Caenorhabditis elegans: one gene and its partners. The protein of the gene in region 1 interacts with the protein of each later gene in a pairwise test. Each region holds a gene or a part of one and is shown in the gene's direction. Other genes may lie near its edges.

Evidence for each region.
Region 2: the proteins of mafr-1 (region 1) and rps-5 interact in a two-hybrid assay, tested with the Caenorhabditis elegans proteins (one large-scale study listed by BioGRID).
Region 3: the proteins of mafr-1 (region 1) and rde-1 interact in a two-hybrid assay, tested with the Caenorhabditis elegans proteins (one large-scale study listed by BioGRID).

What each region holds. Positions count from the first base shown.
Region 1 is NC_003279.8:10,621,243-10,625,000, forward strand, and holds mafr-1 (Repressor of RNA polymerase III transcription MAF1), read left to right. Parts: upstream 1-1,930; 5' UTR 1,931-1,935; coding exon 1,936-2,018; intron 2,019-2,068; coding exon 2,069-2,408; intron 2,409-2,457; coding exon 2,458-2,579; intron 2,580-2,630; coding exon 2,631-2,823; 3' UTR 2,824-3,119; downstream 3,120-3,758. Other genes in the region: Laminin subunit alpha lam-3, read left to right, coding at 1-71; arch-1 (Protein archease-like), read left to right, coding at 3,229-3,405, 3,697-3,758.
Region 2 is NC_003282.8:11,109,602-11,112,801, reverse strand, and holds rps-5 (Small ribosomal subunit protein uS7), read left to right. Parts: upstream 1-1,756; 5' UTR 1,757-1,757; coding exon 1,758-1,823; intron 1,824-1,920; coding exon 1,921-2,190; intron 2,191-2,241; coding exon 2,242-2,370; intron 2,371-2,418; coding exon 2,419-2,586; 3' UTR 2,587-2,700; downstream 2,701-3,200. Other genes in the region: pigk-1 (Putative GPI-anchor transamidase), read left to right, coding at 2,801-2,900, 2,945-3,062, 3,108-3,200. UniProt on the Caenorhabditis elegans protein: Component of the small ribosomal subunit. The ribosome is a large ribonucleoprotein complex responsible for the synthesis of proteins in the cell. Part of the small subunit (SSU) processome, first precursor of the small eukaryotic ribosomal subunit.
Region 3 is NC_003283.11:9,989,502-9,993,259, reverse strand, and holds the start of rde-1 (Piwi domain-containing protein), read left to right. Parts: upstream 1-1,617; 5' UTR 1,618-1,645; coding exon 1,646-1,702; intron 1,703-1,757; coding exon 1,758-1,957; intron 1,958-1,999; coding exon 2,000-2,312; intron 2,313-2,356; coding exon 2,357-2,412; intron 2,413-2,466; coding exon 2,467-2,645; intron 2,646-2,692; coding exon 2,693-2,909; intron 2,910-2,955; coding exon 2,956-3,567; intron 3,568-3,607; coding exon 3,608-3,722; intron 3,723-3,758. Other genes in the region: trpp-6 (Trafficking protein particle complex subunit 6B), read right to left, coding at 554-622, 668-808, 857-934, 984-1,085, 1,130-1,201, 1,258-1,353.

The sequences.
Region 1 (3,758 bases):
ATGTAATGCCATGCGCCAAAGCATGCAAACTTAAGAGATCATCAAAAAGAAAGCGTAATTCGAAAAATTAAATTTCTATATTTGTAACATTTTCTTCCTGAATTTGAATATGATTCTCAAAAAAGCCCCTTGTTGATTGCCAATTTTAATTTAATTTTTTTCTTCGAATAAACTATTTTAAATTTAAAAAAAAGTGAGTTTGCACATTTTTTGGAACCAGCTTTTGCTGAAAAAAAATGTGTCCCACGATTTTGAACGTCGCTCACTGTATCAATTTTCGAAATTCTTTTCTCTCTACATGAAACAATACTACGTCCATTTCAAGCTCTCAAAATCTAACAGCACAGTTTCAAATTCAAAAACACGAAATGATTGAGAAATAGAGATGCTCTTTTCAGATGGATTACTTTAATTCAATCTCTGCAGCTTTACTTAAACAACGCAGGTAGGAGGCAGATACTGTCGATCAGAGCGGAGCATTGAGCTTCACGTAGCCTGGCTGTCAAATTGTTTCAGTTGTCCATCCATGCACCATGTCTCCTCCGCCGTCGACACAGTAGGGTTTCCAGTCACTTCCAGCTACTTGTTCCAATCCACATCCTGACGTTAATTTCCAATCGATTCAGTTGTACTTCCTGAAATAAACACCAATATGACATTATTTGTAAATGTATTGAGGCAAGCCATCTACAAGCTTATGAGTTTAACAACAAACTTACAAAATAGCTCCCACTTTGGAGTTGTCTTCTTTTTCCTCTGTCTCCTCTATTTATCCTTTGAACGTTTCGTCTTGAGTAGTTTGTCCGGGGGGTTTTTGTGACATATGCCAGTATGAGTATCTGAAAAAAAAGGTTCATACTCTCAATACTCAAAAAGCTGTAAACTTTATGTTTTATAACATTTTAAAACATCAGATTTACACCTCTGACCCGCACTCACTTTAATATTCCGTTTGGTTGAAGTGAACTGGTTTCCAATTCACACACGACTGTAGGTAAATCGGCTCCATCGTCCGAGGTCCACTCGGAGGTTCCTTGCATACTCATATCTTCGTTCACAGCATCGGAATTGTTGAATTGGCATCATCTTCCCATCCTTCTTGGCAGACCATTTGTTGAAAAGTTGAAGACTGAACACTATGACTAAAACTACTTGCTCATATACCAGTCCTTATCAAGATGTACGTGGTCGTTCAAATAAAAATATTTTTTTAAATTGTTTTCCGTATACCGTATATCCTCTATTAGTAAGACGTGCAAAACTAATTTTCGGACACCTAATTTGATGCAAAACTAATAGAGGGTGCAAAACTAATTTTCAAACAGGTTTTTTCTCATGTTTCCCATTAAGTTATAGCAAATATCATCAATTTCAGTAACACCTTATGAACCAAAATGGACTAATTAATTCCACTAAATTCTTGTATTGAATATAAAACTTGTGAATCTCATTGCCTTTTGAAAATTTGATTTGAAACTTGTTAATTTTTTAATCTAAATATTCCTGATTCTGTCATAAATGGTCGTGTTATTTCGTTCTCTAGACCCCTGTGACATCAATTATTTGAAAATCTAGTTTTGACTATAGTTTTTAATTGCAAAACGACTTTCGAAGCGAAATTTAACAAATTTCATTTTACCCCCAAGGTATACGGTAGACAAGTACGCAAACACCAACAACAATATTGCACACATTACACAGAAGTTGCCGACAGTTTGCTAAATCAATGGGATTTTTTTACAGCAGTTTTTCCTTTCTTCACGATAAATCGTTCTGAAAAAGTAATTAAAATTGTTATTTTAGTGTAAAATTTAAAAATTAAATTATTGTTTTCAAAATGCGCGATTTTAAATATTGCAATCTTCATTACGTAGGATTTTTCCGCACTTGAATTCTCCAAATGTTCTCGAAATTTATTGAAAAGCTTTAGAAGCCATGAAGTTTCTGGAAAGCTCCGAAATGGATGTTTTTTCGCAGACACTCGTTACGGGAGCAATCGATTGTGTTATTGATTTCAAGTGAGTCATTTATCTCAATATTAAGAATAAAACAAATCGTTCAATTTCAGATTAGAAACGTATTCGTCGAAAATGGTTACTAGCGAAAAGAAACAATGGAAATCGAACGATAAATCTGTGATATGGGGTGAACGCCAGCCTCTAGGATCTTACGAGGAAATGGTGATGAGTGCATCGCCCAGTGTTGGTCACAATCATCGGCTTCGCCATTTATCGGAACGCTCGTGCTCAGGAGGATCAGACAACGATTTCGACGTGAATGACTACCTGATAAAAGACTCAATTTCGCGAAAGAAATTGTATGATCTGACTCAAGTTCTGAACTGTTCGTTTCCGGATCACGATTTCAGTAATGCCAACAGTGAAGCGTTTGCTCTCGTCAATTATTCGGTTAGTAGCTTCTTACAGCTAAATAACATTAACGCGCATGATTTTTCAGGACCTGAGCCGTCTCGTTGATATGAAGCTTGAGACAATTGTCAGAGACTATCACGTGAGAAGAGAAGAGCTATGGGGAATTATTGATGAGGCAATTGTGCCCGGTGACTGTCAAATATACAGGTATTCCGTTTGATTTGAGAGGATATTTTATATAATTTCCATATTTTTCAGCTTCAAGTCCCAATTCGAAGACGATCCGTTTACCGAAGACGGTTGCATTTGGGCACTTGCCTTCATTTTCTACAACAAAGGACTCAAACGTTTTGTTCTTCTCACAATTCGTTGCCTATCGAAACAAGCCGACACGTCCATCGAAATTTTCCCCGATTTCAGTGAAGACGAGGCGGAACCACAAGAGAAATAGAGTGCAGATTATTCATGTAGAACGCTTAGAATAGACTAATATTCAAGGCGATATAGTATTAGTCTTGCCGGCCAAGCCTCTTTCCCTCTTGTAGTTCTTCTCTTGTAAATAGATTCCATTTCTCATCAATCCTCAACCTCCTCCTTCACCTCTCGAGTTCGCATTTAATTTGCCACTTCCCACACACCTACCGCTAGATTAAAGGAACAAATACTTCGATTCTCATTCCTTTTCGTGGCTCGTAGATATCAATTTTCACAAAAACCGCATCATAAATACATAAAATTGTTTTTTTTAAGTTAATCAAAATCGATTATTTTTTGGTTTCAACCGTTCTGATATTTTAATCAATTTTTCCTCAAATTTATTTGGTTAAGTTCAGTTTAATTTATTTTCAGTGAAATAATGCCGAGCACATCAATGATCGAAGATCGTTCTGAGATCGAACGTCGGCGATTCGAATATCTCGATCATCCGGCAGATATTCAACTTCACTCTTGGGGATCCACAATGGAAGAAGCCTTCGAAGCATGCCTCGTATCAATGTTCGGCTATATGACGGATTTGGCCAAGGTTGATGAGGTAATTTGAAATTGAATTAGATCGCCTCTTGCGCCTTTTAAGAATTTTTCCACTTTCCTCTGTTTTGTCTAATTTTTCTTACTTCACTTGAAATATGCTTATGAACATATGAAATTGCAATTTAAATCGATATCTTGTAGAAATTTTAGCTTTTGTTCGTGTATTCTCTAGTTTTGAAGCTGCTCCCAGAAAAAAGCTCAATTTTTGCCTTCTTGACTTCATTTTCGAACAAAACCCACAATTTCTACAAGAAACTGATTAAAATAAAATTTTAATTTTGCATTATTTCAGATGTACGAATTCTACTGGAAAGCTTCTGGCGATAGCTTAGATGGTCTCCTATTTCAGTTTCT
Region 2 (3,200 bases), on another chromosome or scaffold:
GTCTTAAATTTACTTGGAGTTTTCAAATGTGTCAATCTTTTGGTAAAAATATATTTTTTTTAAATCATGCATCAAGAAAGGGTTGGGAAATCTTCAAATTACAGTACCACGAAATGGGATGAGGTTTATATAGTTATCCTATGGAGTTTGTAGTTTTGAAAGGTTCCAAATTTTACAAAAATTGTATGCAGGCACGCCACGCCTTCGTATCTGCCTGCCTGCCTGCCCACCGGTTACATTCCGTGTTTTGGCATGAAATTCGATTTTTAGCTATTTTTATTTTGTCTTTTCAAAAACCTTTTAAAAGTTTCATGAAGTAATAAATACAAAAAAAATGTGAATACTGAGGTTCAGATGAACTGTGGTACATAGGCACACGTGTAGGTACATTGCAGGCAATTTATTATTAACTTCAATATGTTTATGATTACAATTACCAATACAAGTATATCAATCAAGTACTATATAGTTGAGATTCAAAAATTTCCAAAAAGTAAGTTCTACGAGAAACATAAAAGTTCAGATTCTTCGTGGACAGAAAAAGAAAACGAAGAAGAAGATGAGCCAGAAAGTAATAATTGGAAATCGAAAACTAAACATTTTTGGACCGACTCTCTGTGTATTTTAGAGTGTCACGGGCATGGGATAAATTGTGATGCTCTCTTCAGAGCACAAGTGTGACGAGCACACGCACGACAACTGACGTGGCAAATGGATGAAAACGAAGAAAAGAAATTAGAAAAGCCACACGAATCATGTCGGTGAAGTGAGAGGAAAACGACAAAATATTGTGATTTATTGATTTGTGGATAGAAGAAAACTCGTAACTTTATAAAAGACTATTTAAAGTTATCAAGAAAATTTTATAATAAAATCAGAGGTTTGCGCTTGAAGAAGATACGTATATCAATTAGATATTATTTCCAATTCAGATTAAGTACTATCTTAGAATACTGTTTACTTTTTTGGTTTCCATTTTCCAAAGTCCGTGCAATATCTCGAACTTTCAGCAGACACATTACTTGGTAGACATCTTTCGGTCTCAAATGCATTGTCTAAAACCTTTCGGATGTAGAATTATTTTAAAATTTGATTTGCATTTTGAATTCAGCTAAATTTGGCATAAAAACATTATTTCGTTCAGATCACAATTTATTGGTTTACAACAATTGTTTTTGGTTTCCGCTTTTTCTTCCTGTAAAATGCAAAATCCTGAAAAAATATATCGTGAAAATGTTTGGGATTCATTTATCGACTGTTAAACTTTAATTTTCCAATTTTATGCTAAAATTGCTCGAATAAAACTCGTTTTGAAACGGCGATTGAATTGGAACTTCCCGCGACAACGTTGGAAACGAGAGACGCAGACAAACGGGGTTAAAGGCACACCGAATTTACAAGACGAGATATCTCGCCGCGAAAGTTACCAGCACTCTCAGAATTGAGGCCCAATTCCCACTTTCTTTTTGTAAAATCAATTTTTTTGCGTTTTTTTTACGAATTTGGCCTAAAATTTGTATATTTACGCGAACAAAAAATTAAATTTGATTTGTTATCATTGATTTTTTGTCATATTCATAACGAGAACGTGTCCAAAACTTGGAAAATAATTTAGGACGATTTTCCATCATCGTTATTAAAATTTTAATATTTCTTGATTTTCTTGTTGGTTATAGTAACGTTACTCAATATTTATATATTTCTTGTTATTTTTTTAAATCATTTTTTAAACTATACTGAAGTTGTTATTTTGCAGGATGGCCGATAACTGGGGATCTGAAAACGTCGTCGCCGACGCCGCTCCGGCTACCGAAGCTCCAGAGGTTTGTATTTCGTATTTGGTTAAAAATTGCATTTAAAAAATATTGATAAAAATATTTCCAAAAAGAGTAAAACAAAAAATTAAATTAATTTTTACAGGTTGCTCTCTTCGGAAAATGGTCGCTCCAGAGCGTGAATGTATCCGACATCTCCCTTGTCGACTACATTCCAGTTAAGGAGAAGTCCGCCAAGTACCTTCCACATTCGGCTGGACGCTTCCAAGTCCGCCGTTTCCGCAAGGCCGCTTGCCCAATCGTCGAACGTCTCGCCAACTCCTTGATGATGCACGGACGCAACAACGGAAAGAAGCTTATGACCGTCAGAATCGTCAAGCACGCCTTTGAGATCATCTACTTGCTCACCGGAGAGGTATATCATTGATTAAATGTAGAAATTTTATTTTACCACGTTTCTATTCAGAACCCAGTCCAAGTTTTGGTCAACGCCGTTATCAACTCGGGACCACGTGAAGACTCCACCCGTATTGGACGTGCCGGAACTGTCCGCAGACAAGCTGTTGACGTTGCCCCACTCAGAAGAGTCAACCAGGTATATTAATTTTCCTGGTGATTCGTTTAATCATTTAGTTCTTTTTAGGCTATCTGGCTTCTCTGCACTGGAGCTCGTGAGGCTGCCTTCAGAAACGTTAAGACCATCGCCGAATGCTTGGCTGATGAGCTCATCAACGCCGCCAAGGGATCCTCCAACAGCTACGCTATCAAGAAGAAGGATGAGCTCGAGCGTGTCGCCAAGTCCAACCGATAAGCAACTTGTTGTTTTTCTTTATCCGGTTGTCCGGCAACTGATAAAGTATTGTTTGTTCATACTATTTGTTTTCTGTTCATCAATTTTTTCGCATTATAATCCTGTCATTCTCAGATGTTCCACATTACTATTCTGTACGCGTAGAACATGCGCTCCACCGCAATACACAATAGTGCACAATTTCCCCCCTTGCGTTTCAGGATATTTTTCGGGTATGCGTCATGTACTATTGATTTTCTGTGCAATAATTGCAACCGAAGCTCTTCTTAACACAGGTCTACAGCTGAAAATTGATGAATTATTCGACACCCCAGGTTTCGGTTCGAAAGAAGTTCCGGTTTGAGTGAAAAGGTTACAGGTCACACAAATAACTGGGCCGTTCTCGTATGCACATCGAAATTTTGGTTCAACTATCGTCATGTCTCCAACGTTTTGGCTCTTTATCACTCAATCAAACGATTAGGTATTCCTGACAGGTTAGAATATATCGGAAAACTAAAGTAAATGTAATTTAATTTAAGTAATATTATAATGATGCTGGCAGAAGACGTACCATGTAATTCAAGAAATCCGCGGCCTGGAACGGTTTACGCCGCCAGAGCGGGAACAAATCT
Region 3 (3,758 bases), on another chromosome or scaffold:
CGCTTCTGTCATCACCCGCGAGACCGTGGTCCCAACTGTTTTTACGGCATGCGGAATCGAGAGCGAAAATTTCGCGCGCGTTGCTGCAGTCAAATTTGAGGTGACAGTTTTTATATTTTGATAATAACAAATCGTGAGAAGAACTATGAAAAGTCGATGAAAATTCCACGAGTTTTAACTTACAGTAACCTTTGAAGGAGCACGCCCGCTTGTGTTTTTGACGCAAAGAATCGCGACTGTGTAACTACTTGTTTTCGTTATAAAATTATTCTTTTTATTCACTTTTGTATTTAGCATTGGAATGGGACCGGCTGCAGCCTTTATTGGAGCCGAACTTGCTCCACCAAATTTCCAAAAATGCAAAACTAGGTTTTTGGTTTCCTGTAACCAAAATATAGTCTTCGGTGGGAATATATGAACTTTTTCAATTATAATGTTTTCTTCTATTTCTATTACTTCGATGTCATCAAGGTTACCGGTGTTCTTTATTTATTCTCAAAAATTAAATAAACTATATACAAAAATCCATAAATTAATTGACATGTGAAAAATACTATTTTGGTTGAACTTGAATATGAAACTTCACAGAAGGTACACTTTCGATTGTTGGAGTTACAATTGCCTGAAACGAACAAACGTAGATTACGCAAAAAAAGAAAGAACTCACTCTAATATTAAGACCAGCAAGGGCTCCGCGAAGTAAACCACATGGAAAAGCAAGGAAATATCCACTTTCTTTCACGTATTGATCACCTTCGGGAAAACTTCGCAGCGTTGTAAATCTTCCATCTTGAACAACATAGACACCCTGAAAGATATAAGTTTTGGAAATAAAATCGTTTGAAAAATAATATACCTGATGATTTGTGCGGAGATTATCGACTTGCTTGCCAAACACTGATGACCAGAAATCCTTGCAAATGAACTTTACAATCTGATTTTTTTAAATTACAACCGGATAAAACTTGTCACAAAATTCTTACTTCTAACTCAGTGACCAATTTCGGAGACTCTTTTGATACTTTTTCCACGAGCTGCCTTCCAACTCTGAATCCGATCGACTCAAGTTTAGTCTCTGCATTTGCCTGAAGAACACACATTGGAAGACGTATTCTAACATTTAACTTACGTGAAGAAAAGCTTTTTGAACTAAGCTTTCGTACTTTTCAATATCAGCTGGACCATTCAAGTTATCGATAATCTGAAAAGTGATTTCCAATAAAATAAATTGAAACTCAGAAATCAAGAAAAACTCACTGTTCCAAACTTTTCCTTTGCTTCACATCGATCTTTTTCACTTTCCAAAGTTGAACGGATAATTTCCAAATGTAAAATATCAAAAGGAAACGCCATAAAAAATTTCTTGAAGGGAAATAAAAAATAAATAAATTGGAAAGAGTGGTTCTGCAAACACGGGGACGAAGTATTGCGGAGGAAACAGCGCAAATGACGACATTCCTCATGCTAAAAATATTTTCAAAAAACATTTTTTCTCGCTTAAAAATGCCTTGTAACACTGTTCAACTTAATTAGAGATTAAAACTTAACTTTTTCTATCTTCAATTATCAAATATACTTCTTTTTTAATCATAAACGTTGTTTATTGGTAATTTCTAGATAATCAACAGCCACAAAGTGATGAAACATGTCCTCGAATTTTCCCGAATTGGAAAAAGGATTTTATCGTCATTCTCTCGATCCGGTATGATCAATTATTAGCAGCTATAAGATATATAAGTTTGATATTAATATTATAGGAGATGAAATGGCTTGCGAGGCCCACTGGTAAATGCGACGGCAAATTCTATGAGAAGAAAGTACTTCTTTTGGTAAATTGGTTCAAGTTCTCCAGCAAAATTTACGATCGGGAATACTACGAGTATGAAGTGAAAATGACAAAGGAAGTATTGAATAGAAAACCAGGAAAACCTTTCCCAAAAAAGACAGAAATTCCAATGTAAGTGCTTGTAAATTAGTCAAAACTAATTTTATTTTTCAGTCCCGATCGTGCAAAACTCTTCTGGCAACATCTTCGGCATGAGAAGAAGCAGACAGATTTTATTCTCGAAGACTATGTTTTTGATGAAAAGGACACTGTTTATAGTGTTTGTCGACTGAACACTGTCACATCAAAAATGCTGGTTTCGGAGAAAGTAGTAAAAAAGGATTCGGAGAAAAAAGATGAAAAGGATTTGGAGAAAAAAATCTTATACACAATGATACTTACCTATCGTAAAAAATTTCACCTGAACTTTAGTCGAGAAAATCCGGAAAAAGACGAAGAAGCGAATCGGAGTTACAAATTCCTGAAGGTTTATGAAAAACACGCATTATAACAAACAAAATTAGCTTTCAGAATGTTATGACCCAGAAAGTTCGCTACGCGCCTTTTGTGAACGAGGAGATTAAAGTGTGAGTTGCAATAATAATAATAATAATCACCTCAACTCATTTATATATTTTAAGACAATTCGCGAAAAATTTTGTGTACGATAATAATTCAATTCTGCGAGTTCCTGAATCGTTTCACGATCCAAACAGATTCGAACAATCATTAGAAGTAGCACCAAGAATCGAAGCATGGTTTGGAATTTACATTGGAATCAAAGAATTGTTCGATGGTGAACCTGTGCTCAATTTTGCAAGTAAGTTTGAGAAACTGCGATAAAAAATCATGTGATTTTTGTTGAAGTTGTCGATAAACTATTCTACAATGCACCGAAAATGTCTCTTCTGGATTATCTTCTCCTAATTGTCGACCCCCAGTCGTGTAACGATGATGTACGAAAAGATCTTAAAACAAAACTGATGGCGGGAAAAATGACAATCAGACAAGCCGCGCGGCCAAGAATTCGACAATTATTGGAAAATTTGAAGCTGAAATGCGCAGAAGTTTGGGATAACGAAATGTTAGTTTAAATTATTCAAACAATTAATATACAAATTGATTTTCAGGTCGAGATTGACAGAACGACATCTGACATTTCTAGATTTGTGCGAGGAAAACTCTCTTGTTTATAAAGTCACTGGTAAATCGGACAGAGGAAGAAATGCAAAAAAGTACGATACTACATTGTTCAAAATCTATGAGGAAAACAAAAAGTTCATTGAGTTTCCCCACCTACCACTAGTCAAAGTTAAAAGTGGAGCAAAAGAATACGCTGTACCAATGGAACATCTTGAAGTTCATGAGAAGCCACAAAGATACAAGAATCGAATTGATCTGGTGATGCAAGACAAGTTTCTAAAGCGAGCTACACGAAAACCTCACGACTACAAAGAAAATACCCTAAAAATGCTGAAAGAATTGGATTTCTCTTCTGAAGAGCTAAATTTTGTTGAAAGATTTGGATTATGCTCCAAACTTCAGATGATCGAATGTCCAGGAAAGGTTTTGAAAGAGCCAATGCTTGTGAATAGTGTAAATGAACAAATTAAAATGACACCAGTGATTCGTGGATTTCAAGAAAAACAATTGAATGTGGTTCCCGAAAAAGAACTTTGCTGTGCTGTTTTTGTAGTCAACGAAACAGCGGGAAATCCATGCTTAGAAGAGAACGACGTTGTGTAAGTGTTTTCTACGTAGATTATTCCGAAATATTTTCAGTAAGTTCTACACCGAACTAATTGGTGGTTGCAAGTTCCGTGGAATACGAATTGGTGCCAATGAAAACAGAGGAGCGCAATCTATTATGTACGACGCGACGAAAAATGAATATGCCGTAAGTTTCAGAAAATTGAAAGTTTTTAAATATCAT